Linked DNA regions of Nothobranchius furzeri. The protein of the gene in region 1 interacts with the protein of each later gene in a pairwise test. Links are inferred from orthologs where the notes say so. Each region holds a gene or a part of one and is shown in the gene's direction. Other genes may lie near its edges.

Region 1 (4,184 bases):
CATGCTCCTGTCCTGTCACCAGACAATGAGTCATACATAAGGGTTTGGATAAAAATAAATAAATAAATAAATCATGTGTCCCAAACTGCACCTGCACACATTTTCTAATGAATGGTTAAAAGCAATAAATCAGTGGAGAAAAACAAGTGATTCTGAAATGCACTGCCAAGTTCTTGCAACTTCGACATCTCATGGGGCTTAAAGGAGATGTACAGTTGGATGTCATCTGCATAAGATGGTTGGAGATTTCTTTGAAGGAGCTCAGGATGTGCTGAAGAGGGAGCAGATAGAGGAGGAAGAGTAGAGCGCCCAGCACAGAACCTTGTGGGACACCATGGGCGAGGGAGGTGGTGGAGGACCCAAACTTGGAGACGGCCACAGAGAAGCACCTAACCCTAACCCTAACCCTCAGACAGATAAGAGGAGAACCACTTCAGAGCAGATCCTGATATGCCTACCCAGTCTCTCAGCAAAGCTGCTGACACACAACCTTCTCCAGAAGTTTCAAATTGAAAAGGAGAATAGAGATTGGCCTGTAATTGTCTGCACAGAGACATCAGATTCTGGTTTCTTCAGGATCGGTTTACTGACTGCAGCTTTTAATGCAGTTGGAACCACTCCAGTGCTCAGGCTGCCGTTAATGATCAGACGCAGAGACTGACCCAAACACGGAAAGGCCTCCTTCCACAGACGAGGTGGCAAAACATCGAGTGGAGAGCTAGACGACTTCTGCCCTGAGACAAGCTTAGACAACTCAGAATAAGAGAGTATTAAAATAGCTCAGGGTGGACTGTATTGGAGTAACTGGATCAGGGTCTGTAGATGAACCAAAAATAGCAGCTCTAATGGCAGAGACTTTGCTAGTGAAAAAGTTGTGAAAGTCATCACATTCTCCAGCAGCAGTAGAAAAAATGATGCCAGAGTCCTGGTACACTGAGACAGAGTTAAGCGTTTTATGGAGAATTTTTGAATTGTTACAGTTTGTATCAATGATGTCAGCAAAATAGCCCGTTCTAGCGACCCTCACAGCATCAAGATCAAGATACTCTAAACATCTAATGGGAGACCTGTAGGTCTATGCCCGTTTATGTGCAGCCTACAGTTACAACAACCGGCGTACAATTTGAAAACAGATCAAGCGGGATTACTAGTAACTTTACAAGCCTACCTCATGGAATTCTATATTTAAATATATTTTAATTTATTTTGTTAAATTATATTTATATTTTAATTATCATGCCATATATTGTATCAGCTTTTGTGAAAAAGCTTGATAAAATGCGTTTTTTAGTTGGCTAAGCACCTTCCTAAGTAGAAATTAATGCAGTGGGGGCGAATGGAGACCCAACTAAGATGGCGGTCGGCCACTACGGCAGCCGTCCACGGGGCGTCTACGTATATATGACTGCGACCTCAGAGCCCATTGAGGCACTAGGCCAGTTAAAGCATCATGGCGGATGAAGTGGAGCAGGTTCGTTTGGTTGCCGTGTTTATACACTTTTGTTCGTTTTAGCGTCTGTGCAGTTGCTTGACTTCGTCGCGCATTATTAACTTTATGCATTTCTTTAATCTAAGGATACAAGCGTAGCATTTTGCTAATTGCTAACACGGTTTAATTGTGTTTAGGCCTGTGAAACCGGTTAGCCCACATTCACCTAGCGTTCAGCTCATCCTAAAATTATCAGTAAGCGCGTAAAAGTTACCAGATTCTCACAAATGAAAGATTAATGAATGACTTTTCCCGTTATGTTTGTCTAGCAAATTGGACAAATAATTAATATTGAGTTTTCTTTAACTATTGTGTTTAGTTATTAACTTTAGTAAGTAACGAGTCTCAACAAACTGTTTGGATCAAAGTTTATGATTTAAAATGAATATTTCTAAGCTGTAATGTGCAATTTAATTGAAAATAAAGATATTAGTGACAAAGATACCATAGTGTTAATAAGTCATGAGACGTTTAATTGGTTTGATCAGTACTTCTGCACACTCTCTTTACATTTCCTATCAGATGGTTTGTTTTCTAAGCCCTGGTCTTTAAAGGCAAGCCTTAACAAAGCTGTACAGACACAACAAAAATGAATAAATAACAATATAAAGACTCAGCTAAACAATGTTTGGATATTAGTGATGCATCGATATAAATTTTTGGACCGATACTGATATCCGATATTAAGATCACTGTTATGGCCGATAACCGATATTTGCCGATACCGATATACACTGACATTAATGCTTCCAAAATCTGCAGATTTTATATAGAATGAAAATTATTAAAGCTGGATTTACATTATTGTGTACACACAACACACACATTTACGCTTCTGAGGTGATTACAATCACTGTCACATGATTAAACAAATACACATCACCCCCCTCACCCTCTGAAACTGATAAACAAATGGAGACGAGATAGAAAAATTAATATCGGCCCGGTTTTATTTATGGGACCAATACCGATATGTTTAAAAATGACTAACATCGGCCGATACCGATATTGATGCCGATATATTGTCCATCCCTATTGGATATTTTTAATCTAGATTTTTAAAAACATTTCCGGTGAGTGTAAAAAAACCGACTAGTTTTGTTTTTAAATGTTTGCTATTTGATGAATATGCCAATAAAAAATGGAATCCGTACATTGATGATTATTTTAATGTGTTCCACAGCAACCACCTACCAACACGGTGGAGGAGCCTCTCGATTTGATCAGGCTCAGTCTGGATGAGCGGATCTACGTGAAGATGAGGAATGACCGGGAGCTCCGCGGTCGACTACATGTACGACACACACACACACACACACACACACACACGGTTCAGAAGATCCAGTTTTTTCACAATACTTGCTGATAAAACAGGTAAAAAAAATAAGACTGAAAATTCTAATGTCAGTAAAACAACTTAAAAGGTGAAACTAATCTATGAGACAGACTCATTCCACGCAAACCCAGATATTTCAGCCTTTATTTGTGATGATTATGGCATTCAGCTGATGAAAACCCCACATTCATAATCTCAGACAATTAGAATATTGTGTTCAGGTAAATATTCTAGTGTCAGACTTTTATCAGCTGATGAATCCAGAACACCTGCAGAGGGTTCCTGAGCCTGTAGATGGTCTCTCCATCTGAGCTTGATTACTGTCATAAATGGACTTTTGCACCATATTCTCTTTTGTCCAGTTTCACCTGTATGTCCTAACTAATGTTTGCCATCTGGTCCAGGCGTATGACCAACACTTAAATATGATCCTGGGGGATGTGGAGGAGACGGTGACAACAGTGGAGATTGATGAGGAGACGTATGAAGAACTTTATAAGGTCAGTTTTTATGAACAAACATAGAAAAACCTCTCTAGCCACATTTCTACTGAACAGCTTTTGTTTTGGACTCTTTGCTGTGTTTGCTTAGTGGCAAACTTGTGCCACTGTTGGGTGATGCTTAAAGATCCATCAGATGCAGAAACGTTAAACGATGTTAACTTGTCACTTTAACATAACGCTGAATAGATCTGCAGAAAGTAATAAAACAGAATTTTAAGATTCTACGAGGTTTCATTATTGTTCATGATCAGAAACTCAAGTTTTATTTAAATTTGACGGTACTTTAGTGAGTATTTAAATAAAATATCTGTTATTTAAATGTTTTTACTGTATTTGTTTCTTTAGTCTACCAAGAGGAACATCCCCATGTTGTTTGTCAGAGGAGACGGCGTTGTCCTCGTAGCTCCGCCTCTCCGAGTCGGCTAAGCCCCCCATGCCTGACAGGATGATGTAACTGCTTCTGGGAAGTGTCCATTTTTGTAGGAGAGTGTTATAAATCTTCATTTTCCTTATGCTAGACTGTTATTTCATCTTTAAATTTCATGTGAATCAGAGGCTCTTCTCTAGGGCAAAATGTCTGAGGGGGGAAAAACCCAGGAAGTATGATGTGAGGACACTTTTTTTTATTTTTTGACACATTCTGGGATTGTAAGAATCGGCCTCAGTAGATACTATTATTTTTAGTAGAAAAACATTTTTCTGAATCTTATCAGTTCCGATTGAGTCATTCCAGTGTTTATAAAGACTCGGGTCCCCTTGTGAGCGAAATGTTTGTTAAATTGCTCAACTTTTATGTTGATTTTTAGCTAAATGATTGCATTTGAGTCCCAGAACATTCTTTTTCTTTTACATGACG
Region 2 (4,212 bases), on another chromosome or scaffold:
ATGCCAATAAAAACATTTTGGCATAAATCTGTGGCTGCAGTTTGATATCTAATAGTGATGTGTCGGTCGCAAACGAACCGGCTCTAAGAGCCGGCTCTTTGAAGTGAACGACGGGAGCCGTCCCCTCCCCTCCCCTCTTGCTTTGGTGCAAGCCACAGGCGATTGGTCAGCATGTGTAACTGCGTGTCCAGACTGTCCACACACAGAGCAGTAGGGGCGGGGAAGAGGGAGGATCAGACTCAGACACACAGCAGAGCACATGCGGGAGGAGGGAGACGAGAGGGAATGAGGAGGAGGTAAAAGGAGAGTGCGACTAAGACGGTGAGAAAATGAGCGCCAGCAGTCAGAAAGTGTAGATTTCTTAAAGTGTTCAGTTATTAAATCCATAGAAATGATAAATATTTGATATATTGAATTTTTTTATATTAGTAAATCATTCTACAAATAGTTTAGTATTATTTTGGTTATAAATGTACTCTACGCAACAGAAAATCTGAGGAGCCACTAGGGAGCCGGCTCTTTTTGGTGAGCTGAGCCAAAAGAACCGGCTCTCTTAAAAGAGCCGGAATTCCCACCACTAATATCTAGGGTGATAAGGCATGACTGTCTGCAACAACTGGAGCAGCTGCACGGGAAAACCTCAGATTTGATGAGATTTGTACCAGTGCAGATGTTTATCCAGATGTTGACTCTACTCACCAGGTTTTGGACGCAGTCCTTCCTCCTGTTGAAATCCAACAGCAAACAGGCGCGTTGAAAGTCGTAAGTCCGCGTGCACAGACACTTGCTGGAGGGTCCCCTTCCACTGATCTCATGGCAGAGCAGTAGTAGACTGATGCAGCTTCCACTCCTTAGGCCTGAACACTCAGTTAGCTTGTGGTGCCACCTTGTGACTGTGAGAGAGACCACTATGACCTGGCTTACATATTTTGTAACAGAAAGAACTGGTGTGTCATATACTATTGGTGTCAGTGCATGCCTGGGGCAAACTGCTGCTCAGAGCTGGAGCTGCTCACAAACATGTTTATCTCAAAGAAGAGTCCAGACAAGCACAATGAGTGTGTGAATGTGTGTGTGAATGGATGAATGGTACACTGCAGTGTAAAGGGCTTGGGAGTCCCTACTCTTGAGAGGCGCTATACAAGTGCGGGTCATTTATCATCTTTTATCATTTAGCTATGGGGTTATTATAGGTCAGATCTTTAGCAGCAGTGTTTTCATTTAGTATTAATCACATACTATTGCATTTTAAAACATTTGTGTTACAAGTCATTAAATAGCCGTTTGTTATTACAGTTATTGATTTCATGTAGCATTGCATTTTTCTTTTTAAACTTTTTACCAAGTATTTTCATTTTACGTTTAGGTGTATTAGAGCATGCTTCCCTTGACACATTTGATTAACTGTGAGTCACAGTTTTGGCACTGTGCTCCCATTTTGGCCTAGCTTTTTCTTCATTCTGAGAATTCCTTCCGAATAAAAGCCTCCTCCCTCGTGACGTACGTTTCTTCCATTACACGTTAACGGAGGCAGGTCTCGCGCTTAGGGGAAGACTCTTATTGTGAAAGTGAGGGGAGGCCGCCACAATTGCTTAGTCACGGAGTTACTGCTTTCCCCTCCTTCCTATGTGGCGAACTGCTCGAAAACCCATGATGGAGGAATTGAGCTAGTCTACGTGAGTGTCCTTTATTTTTTACAAATGTACCAAACCACTAACAGTCTAGAGAACCAGTTTGAACAGGTCTGAGTGCCCGCTGAAACCCAAGTAGCAGTACTGTTTTCAGGCTTCGCTTTGTTAGCGTTAACCTATCGACTCGCAGCCGTTACTCTAGTCTATTATTAGGAGTCCGTGTTGCTGTCAGCTCTATTTCCGTGACATTTTATTTGTTTCTATTGCGTCTCAGATTGTTTTTACTTTATTCTAATCGTTTTACAAACTTACAGCCGATGGCGTCCACCTGCTTTGCCTTTTGAACGCCTCCAGTATTTGATGAAAACGAGCTCAGAAACTGTGACCTTTTTAGTGTGCGAGGCAAAGTGGGCTTTGTAAGAAGCGTCTTCATGTCAGGTAGGTAGATGGCGCGGAAATCTTAATTCCGTTCGGGCTTATGTAAGGACGAGCTCCACTTCTGGGTCGTGCTATCGTACAACCAGCTCTGTTTGCTCAGTGAAGAGTTCACGATGAGTCATGGAGGAGGGAGGCTCAAAAATGTCAGTGAAACATGTTGTGCGTTTGTTTGGCTCGTTCTCGTCTGCTGGTTTAGTAGCGTTTAAATGGGTGAAAGGTCACGTTTAGTTGCCGTTTTTAGGCCCTGAAAGTGGCTCCAGATTCTGATGGTGTTGTACGTCACTGTAGGCAAGTTAGTGTGAAAGGATATGCTTGAGAGTCAAGTGTGACTAGCTGCAGATGTCCCTGCACAATATCCTCTCTCACTAGGTAAAGTGTTGTGGAGTTGCCTGAAGGTGATCTTAGAGGTTATGTCTTGTGAGGAAATGAGTCATGTTGGTGTTACACATTATTTGGTCTTTTTCCAGCTGAGGATTTACAGATGTTTATGTTTGGGTTGTTTTTTTTTTCTTCCCAAAAATCTACTTTTGCAATTCCCTAAAGTACAATCAGTGTACTACAATAAAATGACGTGCACAACACAACTTAAAGGGTTTCTCTGACTTATCTGATGTCAGCCAAATCATGGCAACTTGAGCTGGATGACTTGTAGTTTTATCTGTCACGTCTCAAACTTACTATTTTTAAGTTAAAGTCCCCGGCGCATCCAGAGTGACACTTGACCTACTTGTTTGTTGGTCAGCAGCTTCTGCACCTAGTAGAGAGCAAATGAGTTGAGCAATAAGCTCTTCTGTGAAACACTTCCTCAGAAACCTGGGGAAGATAAAAGCACCCAGTGACTCAGAACTTAAACCGGTTTCATGTTACAGTAAATTTAACTCACTGAGTGCTCACACACACACACACACACACACACACACACACACACACACACACACACACACACACACACACACACACACACACACACACACACACACACACACGCACGCACGCACGCACGCACGCAGCCATCTGTTGATCATTTAAATAGAGTGAATCTCAAACATAACCATTTTAATTAATTTGCAGATTGAGGAGCGGTCATAGGTTGGTGACAACAAAGTCTTATCATCACGTCTCTGCACCATCTCCTGTACCCAGGTGATGATCAGTGTGTGTATGCATGTGTGTGTGCAGATTGTTTAGTTATATAACTGACCCACTCACCCCGTTCAAGGATCAGCAGACAGGCCGTTACAGTTAGTTGTATTGAATATACCACTATTAAAGGCAGTTCGATTTCTGAGAGGTAGTTGGAATGGCAGTGAAGTTCTTTCTAATTCTGCTGCATCCCCTTTGGCTGCTTTAGTGGTATGTGTGATGAAGGGTGTTAGTTCTGTGGAGCTTAGGCCATATGATCCAAGTAGATGTACTGGTTTCCAAACCAGTCTGCAAGAGTTGTTTATTTGTTTCCATTCAGCTAAATGCAAAACGCTGGAAGATTAAAATAAATCACATTTCTAATTCTAGTAGTTTATACTGGGAATGAGTAATAAACTGCACACATTTATTGTTATAAATTATTTTTCTTTATTTTTACAAGTGGCATCTTTTAAAAAGGTGTAGTGTGTATGCATTAATAACTTGTTAATAACACATAAAATGCTTAGACTATTTAAGAGAGTAGCCTAAAACTAGATCCAGTTATATTAAAGAGAGGATTAGTGTGCATTGCTGTGCATGCAGCAGAGAGGGAAAAGATGCTAACCAGTTCAGGGTTTCCCCTAGCACTTTATAAGCCTGGTAGCCCGCCAGGCTAAGGGTCACACCTTGCCCCCCTCCCCGACTCTACCGTGTCCGCTGACACGAACGGCGCAACGAAACTAGAGCCATCCATCATCTGATACTGGTGAGAAACAGCAACGGAACGTGTGCAACCCCGCTCTCACGGAGGAGAGCTGTAGGATCGATTGTTACTATAAGAGAATAAACACTACAGGCCTTCCATTTTGTATAACACTGCTTTTATTGTGTTGTGGTTGGTTATGTTCTGGTGACGTGTAGAACTTGGGAGTGCAGGCGGCTGCCTGAGAGGTGGTTGGAGACGGAGTGTCTCCATGCTGCTTTGTTTTGGTCACTTATGAGCGTGAGGCGAATGGTG
Region 3 (3,954 bases), on another chromosome or scaffold:
TTTATTAAACATGCTTTTATACATGTTGTACAAGTTTGGTGTTCATTTTTTCACCATTAACACTTTTTCATCTACCGTGTTTGACCATACAGTTTTATTGAAGTTTTCTTTTTATTTAGTTGCCATTAGTCAGGCTATAGAAGCCAGATAAACTGGGTTATAGATGCATGTACTGTCTTCACATAAAAATATAAAGTAATGACTGTAAAATGTATTCTACTGAACATAATAGATCATCATTCAAAGCATAAACAGCTGCATGTTTTCTTCAAGGTAAGCTGGAGCAGAATTCTAGCTTTCAATAAACACTTTAAAATGGATATTACAACTCGAGTTTAGGGCTTCTTGTAGGACTTAAAGTTATTAAACATGCTTATATTAGAGCAGTGTGTTGAAGAAGAAGAAAATACCATTTCTATAGCGCCTCTCAAGATAAAAATCACGAGGCGCTTGTGTGTACGGAAGCTCTAATTTCCCCCTGGGATTAATAAAGTATCTTTGAATTTAATTGAATTGAAGAACCATCCCCATCCCTCATGGCCACTCACACGCCATCTTGTCGCTGGGCACAAACCGAATCTCTGTGATTGCTCCATCCTCATCGTCGTCCTCTTGTTGCATTACTACATCAGATTTATTGCTATAGTATATTATAGTAATGTATGTGGTCTAAATGTGTTCTACAGTGTGTTAGGACTGTCGTGTTCCTGTAATGTCGAACAGTCGCGGGTGTCTGTCTTCCTACAAAGGAAAAATAAAAAGGGTACTTTGTGAAGGAATTAGGACATAATATATAATATAATATGTAATATTATTCAATAATTACCAAAAATTGCCAGGGGAAATGTGATGATATTCAATTTTTGTGATTTGTCCCACCATACATCGTTCAAACGGACTCACGGCGCAATTTTCCAATCGTGAGAGCCCTTCCAGCCAATCAGAGGCGAGAAAGGCGGGACCTTCCTTGGAAATCCTACGATTCCAAATCATGCTCACTGGGCATCTACGTATGGCCTTCAAACGTACGCACATACCTTTCTTTACATGAATACTAAAGTTACGTAGGAACTAAGCCATCCAACTTCGACCTGATGGGTCACGTGAGCTTTTAACGTGCGGAATAAACCGCGAGATTTCAGCTTGACGTAGGCCGAGCGGCGGGAACAGTTGGCTAACAATATTCTTTTTTGGTTACAATCGTCTATGATGCTTTTCGGAGTCCCTCACATTTACTCTTAAACTCCGGGGGAAAGCGGCAAAGTGCGGAGGCTGTTTTTCCTTCTTCGGCTTTCTGGGACACGTTTATTTAGAAATTCTCGTGTTAAATTAGCCAGATTTGTAGCTGACACAGCTTTCTGTCAACAGCGGCTCGTGCTTTGTCACAGCTAGCTAGCTAGCTGTTATCTGGACCATGGTTGTGCTGAAAAGTCTCCACCCTCCTACCGAGGGAGTGCGACACCAGCAGGCGGACACCACGGCGGAGCTGGACGGCCTGAAGCTGGGTTGCGGGACGCTGTGTGTGGCCGAAACGTGAGTGAAGCATGTGGTGGTTCTTAGTCGTCCTGGAGGAGCCTTGTTTCAGTGTAATGAAGCTAAACCACAAAACTACAAGTTAGAAATACCAGAAGCTTAATAAAACACCTGGTTTGTTTTGGTTTGACCTGTTTATCTTCTCCGCGTGTCTGGGATTTGTGTTATATTTATATCTCCATGTGTTCATGATCAGTTTGGATAAATAACCGCGATGTGACATTTTATTCTCACACTACCCTACTCGTGTTTTTATTTATTAGCATTGCAAGTCATGAAGTGCGTGAGAGCTTCTGGTGTTCAGCCTGCGCCTCTCAGCTGGCTCTTTTGTCTTGTAGACGCCTGTTGTGGTTCGATGACTCGAGGAAGGGCTTCTCTCTGGAGTATCCATCGATCGGTCTACACGCCATCTCCAGAGACGTCTGCTCCTACCCCCAGGAACACCTCTACGTCATGGTGAACGGCAAAGTCGGCGGTAAGAGGAGCTGTGTGGATTCAGGATCCAGACTCTGTTACCTAAAGCTAGACCTGATTACATGGTTGTTGGTTTTCTAATGCGTCCATCGCAGATGAGAATGAGACAGAGATGGGTGCTGCTGATGATGATGACGACAGCAGCAAAGAGGACGACGATGAGGATGGAGCAATCACAGAGATTCGGTTTGTGCCCAGCGACAAGACGGCGTGTGAGTGGCCATGAGGGATGGGGATGGTTCTTCAATTCAATTCAAAGATGCTTTATTAATCCCAGAGGGAAATTAGAGTTTCAGTACACACAATTCTGAGATCAGACATACATTCATAGACACACTGTGGTCATTTGCAACCCGAGTCGCGCTACCTTAATAGAGATCAGAGGGTTCATATGAGGATTGGTTCAAGTGGAGGAAAAAAAGGCGCTTCAGAGTTACCCTCCACAGGGAGGGCAGCTTTGCTCTGCAAAAAACACCTCAGACAGAAATGCAACAGACTTCCGACATTACACAACATAAGTGTCCACTAGGTGGGGTGGTAGGGTTGGGGACTCTCCTCACATCAGTGCGTGCAGCCACGATAAGCAGCGCTCATCACCTCCGTTTGGACAGGGGAGGGAGGTCGTTGGGTTTAGAGAGCACAGTGACTCCTGGAAACAATTCCACGGCCTTCACCGGTCACAGTCCCGCCCAGGCTGGGATAGGGAGACAGAGTTGCCATGGCGACGGCAGCATTCCACATTTCTTCTGAGGGGGAGTAATCACTTCAGCCTCACAGGCACAAGGGCACCAGATTCAGATAAGAACTTGTTTTGGGGACAGACAGAGATAATTTCCTCTCTGCCTTAGTGTTCTGTTGGTCTCCAACCCCTCTAGATCCAATAATGGTGTAATTAATCTATCCCAGTCCGTGCTGATCCGTCCACTCTCTCCTTGATGGAATCCACCTTCTGTGCCAGAGCCTGAATCTCAGCCAAAGTTCCAAGCTTACGACTCATCTCGACAATTATATGAGTTAGTGCGTTCACAGCGCGGTGTAATCCATCCCTGAGCTCCGGGATTGAGCCAAAATTCCTCGACAGCTCATTAATTTTCCGGTAAGCCAGGTAACCACTCAGGCCGAAGAGCAGGAATCCCGACACCAACACCACGAATATCCACACGTCTTCAGAATCCTCTACAGACAGCTGAGAGAGGCAGATCAGGTCCCACTGTTTCCAGGAGTCCATGATATACCCAGCTGGCTCTGTCCCAGAGGGGCAGCCGGGAGCCCCTTCTCCCGTTCTCATCGTTGAAAAATGTTGTCAATCGCGTTGAGAGACCAACTGACCAGGTCCACTTTAATAATTTCCAGTTTCCAGAAAAAATGCAGAAGCACCGTCCACCCAGAGACAGACAAAGAGCCTTGGGTTAAGATGGGGAGGAGAGTAGGACTAAAGCGTCTGTAATCTCCAAGAGCCGGGAGAAGAGTTGTGTTACTACAAGATCTTTGATCCACACTCCAGCTGCCATATTGGAAAGGATTCATGCAAACATAATGGTTATAAATGGATCTACTGACACATTTAATAATCACACGATCATAAACAAAGACAGGAGCACAAAAGTGAGCCTGATTTGGTGTAGCTTTGGTTAACTAATTAGTTACTAACTTTAACCAGCTGATCAGCTTGTTAACCGGTTAGCATGTAGGTTTAGTCCTAAGACTGATCGTTTTATCAGCTTCAGACAGACTGATCTGCTTCAGCTGTGTTTTACACAACAAGGGCATAAAGCTGCAGGAGTGACTAAAGAGTGATATTAATACAAACCTTTAACTAACTATAAGTATCGGGTGGGAACGAGGGAACTGTACAGCACAGATTTAATACATACTGTAGGGAGCCTAAGCCACGCCCATCTACTTCCGGACCAACGGCGCTAAAACGCTGTTTTATAATTCTGCTTG
Region 4 (4,039 bases), on another chromosome or scaffold:
CGTCCGTGCGTGTCTGTCCCTGGTGGAGCTGATGGAGACGTATAAATTAGGCTTAAGCTGGCTCTGTGTGTCCCAGTGAGGGACAAGAGATCTGTCCAGTGTCGTCTTTTTCCTGAAGAAAGCTGAAGATAAACACCAGCTCCCTGAGAAAAATGGCAGGTCTCCATGTCAAGCTTTCCTTAATTCTCGATATTAATCATTTGTTATTTAAAGAACATTTCCACCTGTTAAATTTGGCTTAAATCTGTATGTTCAGGGACTTTTCATTCATTCCTCCCTGAAGCTTGTTTTTGCTTCAACATTTGTCTGATTCAGGACGAGGAGACGACCTCCACGCTTGCTCAGATTGCTGGACAGTTCACAGACAAAGAAGCAATTCCTGGAGATGAAAGCAGCAGCACTGGAGCCGACCTGCTGGCCATGATGGATGACCTCTGACTGAATACCATGATTACAGCATCAGACTGACTGTCTGACGTCAACAAAATAAGGACAATATTTATAACTTCCTATGATGTTCAAGCTCACGTTTCTCTATACAGCACTGGTACATCCCCAAGATGCTGTAGCAAAGGCACAAGCAATAAAACAGCTATCATAACAAAACATTTCATTAGGATACATGCAACAAACAAAATCAGCTAAGATAGAAGCCTATCTTACAGAAATGACCACAATGTCTGAGTCTGACATAAAGGCCAGATCAAAATGCTCCAAGCTGGGACCGGTCCTTATACGAAGGGAAGGCTGCTCTATAATCTAGTCCGTGGAATCAGAAACGTCCACTTTGTGTCTGTTTACCTGAAAATTCCCAAGAGTTCAGCTCTAAATGTCTGGTAAATTAATACATAAAGGTATTGTTGTCTGGTTTTAACATGATTTACAATGATGCTCTGTCGTTGGGTGGCAATGGCAGAGGAGGTAAGTGGCTGCCTTGTAACAGGAGGGTTGCAGGTTTGAGGCCTGCTCATTGTGTAGCAGTCATCTGCTTGAGCAAGGCACACTCCCTGGCCTGTGAAGCCAGGTGAGGCTACCCCATTGGTTCTGGCTCACCCTGGCTACAGTCGCACACGATCAGAAGTAAAGTCGTCTACGCTGGTAAAAACAAATAAAGTTATCATATTCAAAAGCAGTCGTGTTCACGTTGTTTTTTTAACGTTGGCTTTCCTGATGACTGAACATGTTTAACATATTTTATTATGAATGAAAACTCGTCTTAGAGTTTTCAGAACCGGATCCGGAAGTTACGTCACTAAATGGAATGCGTACGTAAGCGGAAGCCAGCGCGGAGCGGCAGCAGTTCGGTGAGTTCAGACAGTTGTTGTTTGGTGAAAGTTTGAATCTCCCCGGATGTGTCGAGTTTATTTTAACGGGACCCTCGTTATCAGCACCGCTGTCGTTAGAATGCTGACCGCGGCGGGTAAAAACTGCTTTAGCTAAACTTTAGCTTCACACACTGAGCACGCGCCAACCCCAAAACTTAAGTCTCGCGAGATTCCTGTTAAAGACACGAGATCTGGTAGGATCCAAATCTGGTCCCGTCTCGAGGTTCAAGTTTGAAGCTTATGCTCTTTTTAGCGGAAAAGCCGGAAAAAGATCCGGTTGTTAGTGAAAGTGTTAGCCTCAGGTGCTAGCAGGTGCTACAGCTCGGTTCTGGTTCCGTGAGACCACCAGAGGGACAGGTCCTGGTTCAGGTCTCTGATAGAACAGGATCAGCTAACAGGACTGAACCCGGCCAGAGAAAGTCCTTCATAATCATACGGGTCAAAGGCGAGGTCTGGCTCGGTTCTGTTGGGATGAACGGACCCGTTTCAGTCAACTTCCTTCTGGTTTCAGGTCAGGAGAACCGGGTCTGAGCAGCCCGGGTTTCTGGCACCAGAACCTGTGGAGAGGACATGGAGTCTGAAGCAGCTGGAGCTCCAGCCTCGGGTGAAGTGGTTAACTCGATTCGTGAGCGGACCATCTCCGAGAACAGCTTGGTGGTTCTGCTGCAGGGTCTCCAGGGCCGGGTGACCACGGTGGACCTGAGGGACGAGTCCACGGCCCAGGGACGTGTGCTCAGTGTGGATGCCTTCATGAACGTCCGTCTGAAGGACGTGCTGTACCAGGACCGGCGGGGACGGCGCCGCCAGCTGCAGGACCTGTTCATCACCGGCAGGAACGTGCGTTACGTGCACATCCCAGATGACGTGGACATGATGAAGACCATCCAGAACCAGCTGGACAAGATCCACAGAGTCCGGAGCTTCGGCAGCGAAGGCAGGAAGGAGTTCTCCAAGAAGTCGAACTGATCGGACCGGTACCGCTTCGGCACAGGAGTGGGCGATCTTTGTCGGTACATCGTGACGCTCGCGCGGTAACGGTAAACACCCGATGTCATCGCTCCTCGGTCAAAAGGAGGACTGTTGCATGGCAACAAGACTGACGTCTGAGTAACGTTCAAAACTAAAAACACAAAACTTCAGAAGTAATTCATGTTCGGATTCTTTTTCCAGACGAAGCAACGCTAAAATGATCCCGAAGGAAGATATTTTAGTAAAAAACAAACATTTTTCATGTTATTCGCTCAGAAAGGTCCTGAGCTGAGCTCCGATCAGCTGATGGGCGGTTCTGACCCACTGCGGTACACGAGAGACTCTTCTGTCTCTGGTACCAGCAGCCTGTCTGAGGCCCAGTCTGACCAGAACTTTAGTCGTGGTCCTGGTTCTGGGTTGATGCAGATGGGACTTCCAGCGCCGGGTCGGGATGCTTGTTCTGAGCTCCCTGCAGTTCCAGGAGCCGCGGGTCTCCAGCCCGTCTCTGATTGGTGGAGGGCCAGACCATGTTTGGGAGTAGCTGCGTTCCTCTGGAACACGAAGGCTGCTGGGAATTTTTATTCCAGCAGGAGGATGGATACGAACCAGGAAAACCACTTGGATCCGATTCAGCCTGAGTCAGAACCTGACCACATCATTACCACAGGTCCAGGTCTAGAGAGACCAGAACCTGCAGCGTAACAGAGTCAGCTGTGAGATGGAGACACCCCCCCCCCCCCCCCCCCCCAGACATTCCTGCTCATCTCGGCTGCAGCCGCCCAGTTGTTTCCTGCTCCGCCCACCAGAACTCTCCAGAACCCTGCGGGCTGAGCAGTGGACCTGGGTCAGAGCCAGATGGTCCTTTCTGGAGTTCCCAGGCAGGATTCGGTTCTGTGGAGCCACTGGAGGGATGAGTGGCCAGAGACGAGGAGCGCCGATTAAACCTTCATCAGAACCGAGGTGAGTCAGGAGAAAGGTTCTGGTCCAAAGAGCCTTTTGTGAGCTTCAGCAGCATGATAACAGCACGTACCTTGGTGGTTCTGCTGGATCAAAACTCCATTCTGCAGAACTCAGGAGGAATGTGGATCCTCTTAGGTTCAGAACCAGTTTGGGTCTAAATCTGGTCAGAATCAGAACTGGGACTAAACACCACTCTGTTGGTTCTGTTGCTGCCCTGACCCAACAGATCCGGTTGTACTGGCTGTGCAGCACCAGGCTAAAGTTCAGAGGTGCTGCTGTGGTCCCCAGACTCTGGAGCTCTCCCCCCGAGCCTGAGACCAGTGGACTCAGTGGTCTCCTTTAAACTCAGCTGTTGGGGTTTGGTGGGACCTCCCTCTCCTGGTTCTGCTCTTGCTCCACCTTTCCCAGATCCCCCGGTGTCCCTCTCCTTTCATTTTCTCTCCCTTTACTTACATTTTATATCGATTTTTTTTTTCTTATTTTAAACTTTTTTAAAATCTTTTTATCTTTAATTTTTTTGTTTTTGTGAAGCGCCGTATTTTTATCTGGGGTTGCCATAGAAACGGTCCTTTTCTTTCTGGATTGCTCCTCTTCAGCCAACGAGGCCAAAGTCAGATTCTGATGATCACAGAGAAATCAATCAGACTAGAGCAAATGATCACAGAGCAATCAGAGTAGGGCAAGCCACAGATATATTTATTTAGAGCTCTGTTGGCCGCTCAGGTGCAGGAAATGCGGTCGCCATCTTAGATGGGTGGAGCTTGTGGCAGACACGAACCATAGCA

What was found. The genes of interacting proteins can lie anywhere in the genome.
Region 2: the proteins of lsm3 (region 1) and keap1b interact in binary tests that used the Homo sapiens proteins (3 or more experiments, as listed by UniProt). The two-hybrid records come from large-scale screens. The link is inferred for Nothobranchius furzeri from reciprocal best matches to the Homo sapiens genes LSM3 and KEAP1.
Region 3: the proteins of lsm3 (region 1) and clns1a interact in binary tests that used the Homo sapiens proteins (3 or more experiments, as listed by UniProt). The link is inferred for Nothobranchius furzeri from reciprocal best matches to the Homo sapiens genes LSM3 and CLNS1A.
Region 4: the proteins of lsm3 (region 1) and lsm10 interact in binary tests that used the Homo sapiens proteins (3 or more experiments, as listed by UniProt). The link is inferred for Nothobranchius furzeri from reciprocal best matches to the Homo sapiens genes LSM3 and LSM10.

What each region holds. Positions count from the first base shown.
Region 1 is NC_091743.1:73,197,565-73,201,748, reverse strand, and holds the start of lsm3 (U6 snRNA-associated Sm-like protein LSm3), read left to right. Parts: upstream 1-1,384; 5' UTR 1,385-1,450; coding exon 1,451-1,471; intron 1,472-2,672; coding exon 2,673-2,783; intron 2,784-3,229; coding exon 3,230-3,325; intron 3,326-3,673; coding exon 3,674-3,754; 3' UTR 3,755-4,184. UniProt on the Homo sapiens protein: Plays a role in pre-mRNA splicing as component of the U4/U6-U5 tri-snRNP complex that is involved in spliceosome assembly, and as component of the precatalytic spliceosome (spliceosome B complex).
Region 2 is NC_091747.1:74,194,569-74,198,780, forward strand, and holds the start of keap1b (kelch-like ECH-associated protein 1B), read left to right. Parts: upstream 1-1,412; 5' UTR 1,413-1,676; intron 1,677-3,140; 5' UTR 3,141-3,212; intron 3,213-4,212. UniProt on the Homo sapiens protein: Substrate-specific adapter of a BCR (BTB-CUL3-RBX1) E3 ubiquitin ligase complex that regulates the response to oxidative stress by targeting NFE2L2/NRF2 for ubiquitination.
Region 3 is NC_091753.1:60,549,141-60,553,094, forward strand, and holds the start of clns1a (methylosome subunit pICln), read left to right. Parts: upstream 1-1,154; 5' UTR 1,155-1,414; coding exon 1,415-1,533; intron 1,534-1,871; coding exon 1,872-2,008; intron 2,009-2,102; coding exon 2,103-2,219; intron 2,220-3,954. UniProt on the Homo sapiens protein: Involved in both the assembly of spliceosomal snRNPs and the methylation of Sm proteins.
Region 4 is NC_091759.1:27,048,194-27,052,232, forward strand, and holds the start of lsm10 (U7 snRNA-associated Sm-like protein LSm10), read left to right. Parts: upstream 1-1,239; 5' UTR 1,240-1,304; intron 1,305-1,761; exon of another isoform or gene 1,762-1,836; 5' UTR 1,837-1,895; coding exon 1,896-2,291; 3' UTR 2,292-2,362; intron 2,363-3,117; exon of another isoform or gene 3,118-3,254; intron 3,255-4,039. Other genes in the region: protein OSCP1, read left to right, coding at 316-438. UniProt on the Homo sapiens protein: Appears to function in the U7 snRNP complex that is involved in histone 3'-end processing. Increases U7 snRNA levels but not histone 3'-end pre-mRNA processing activity, when overexpressed. Required for cell cycle progression from G1 to S phases.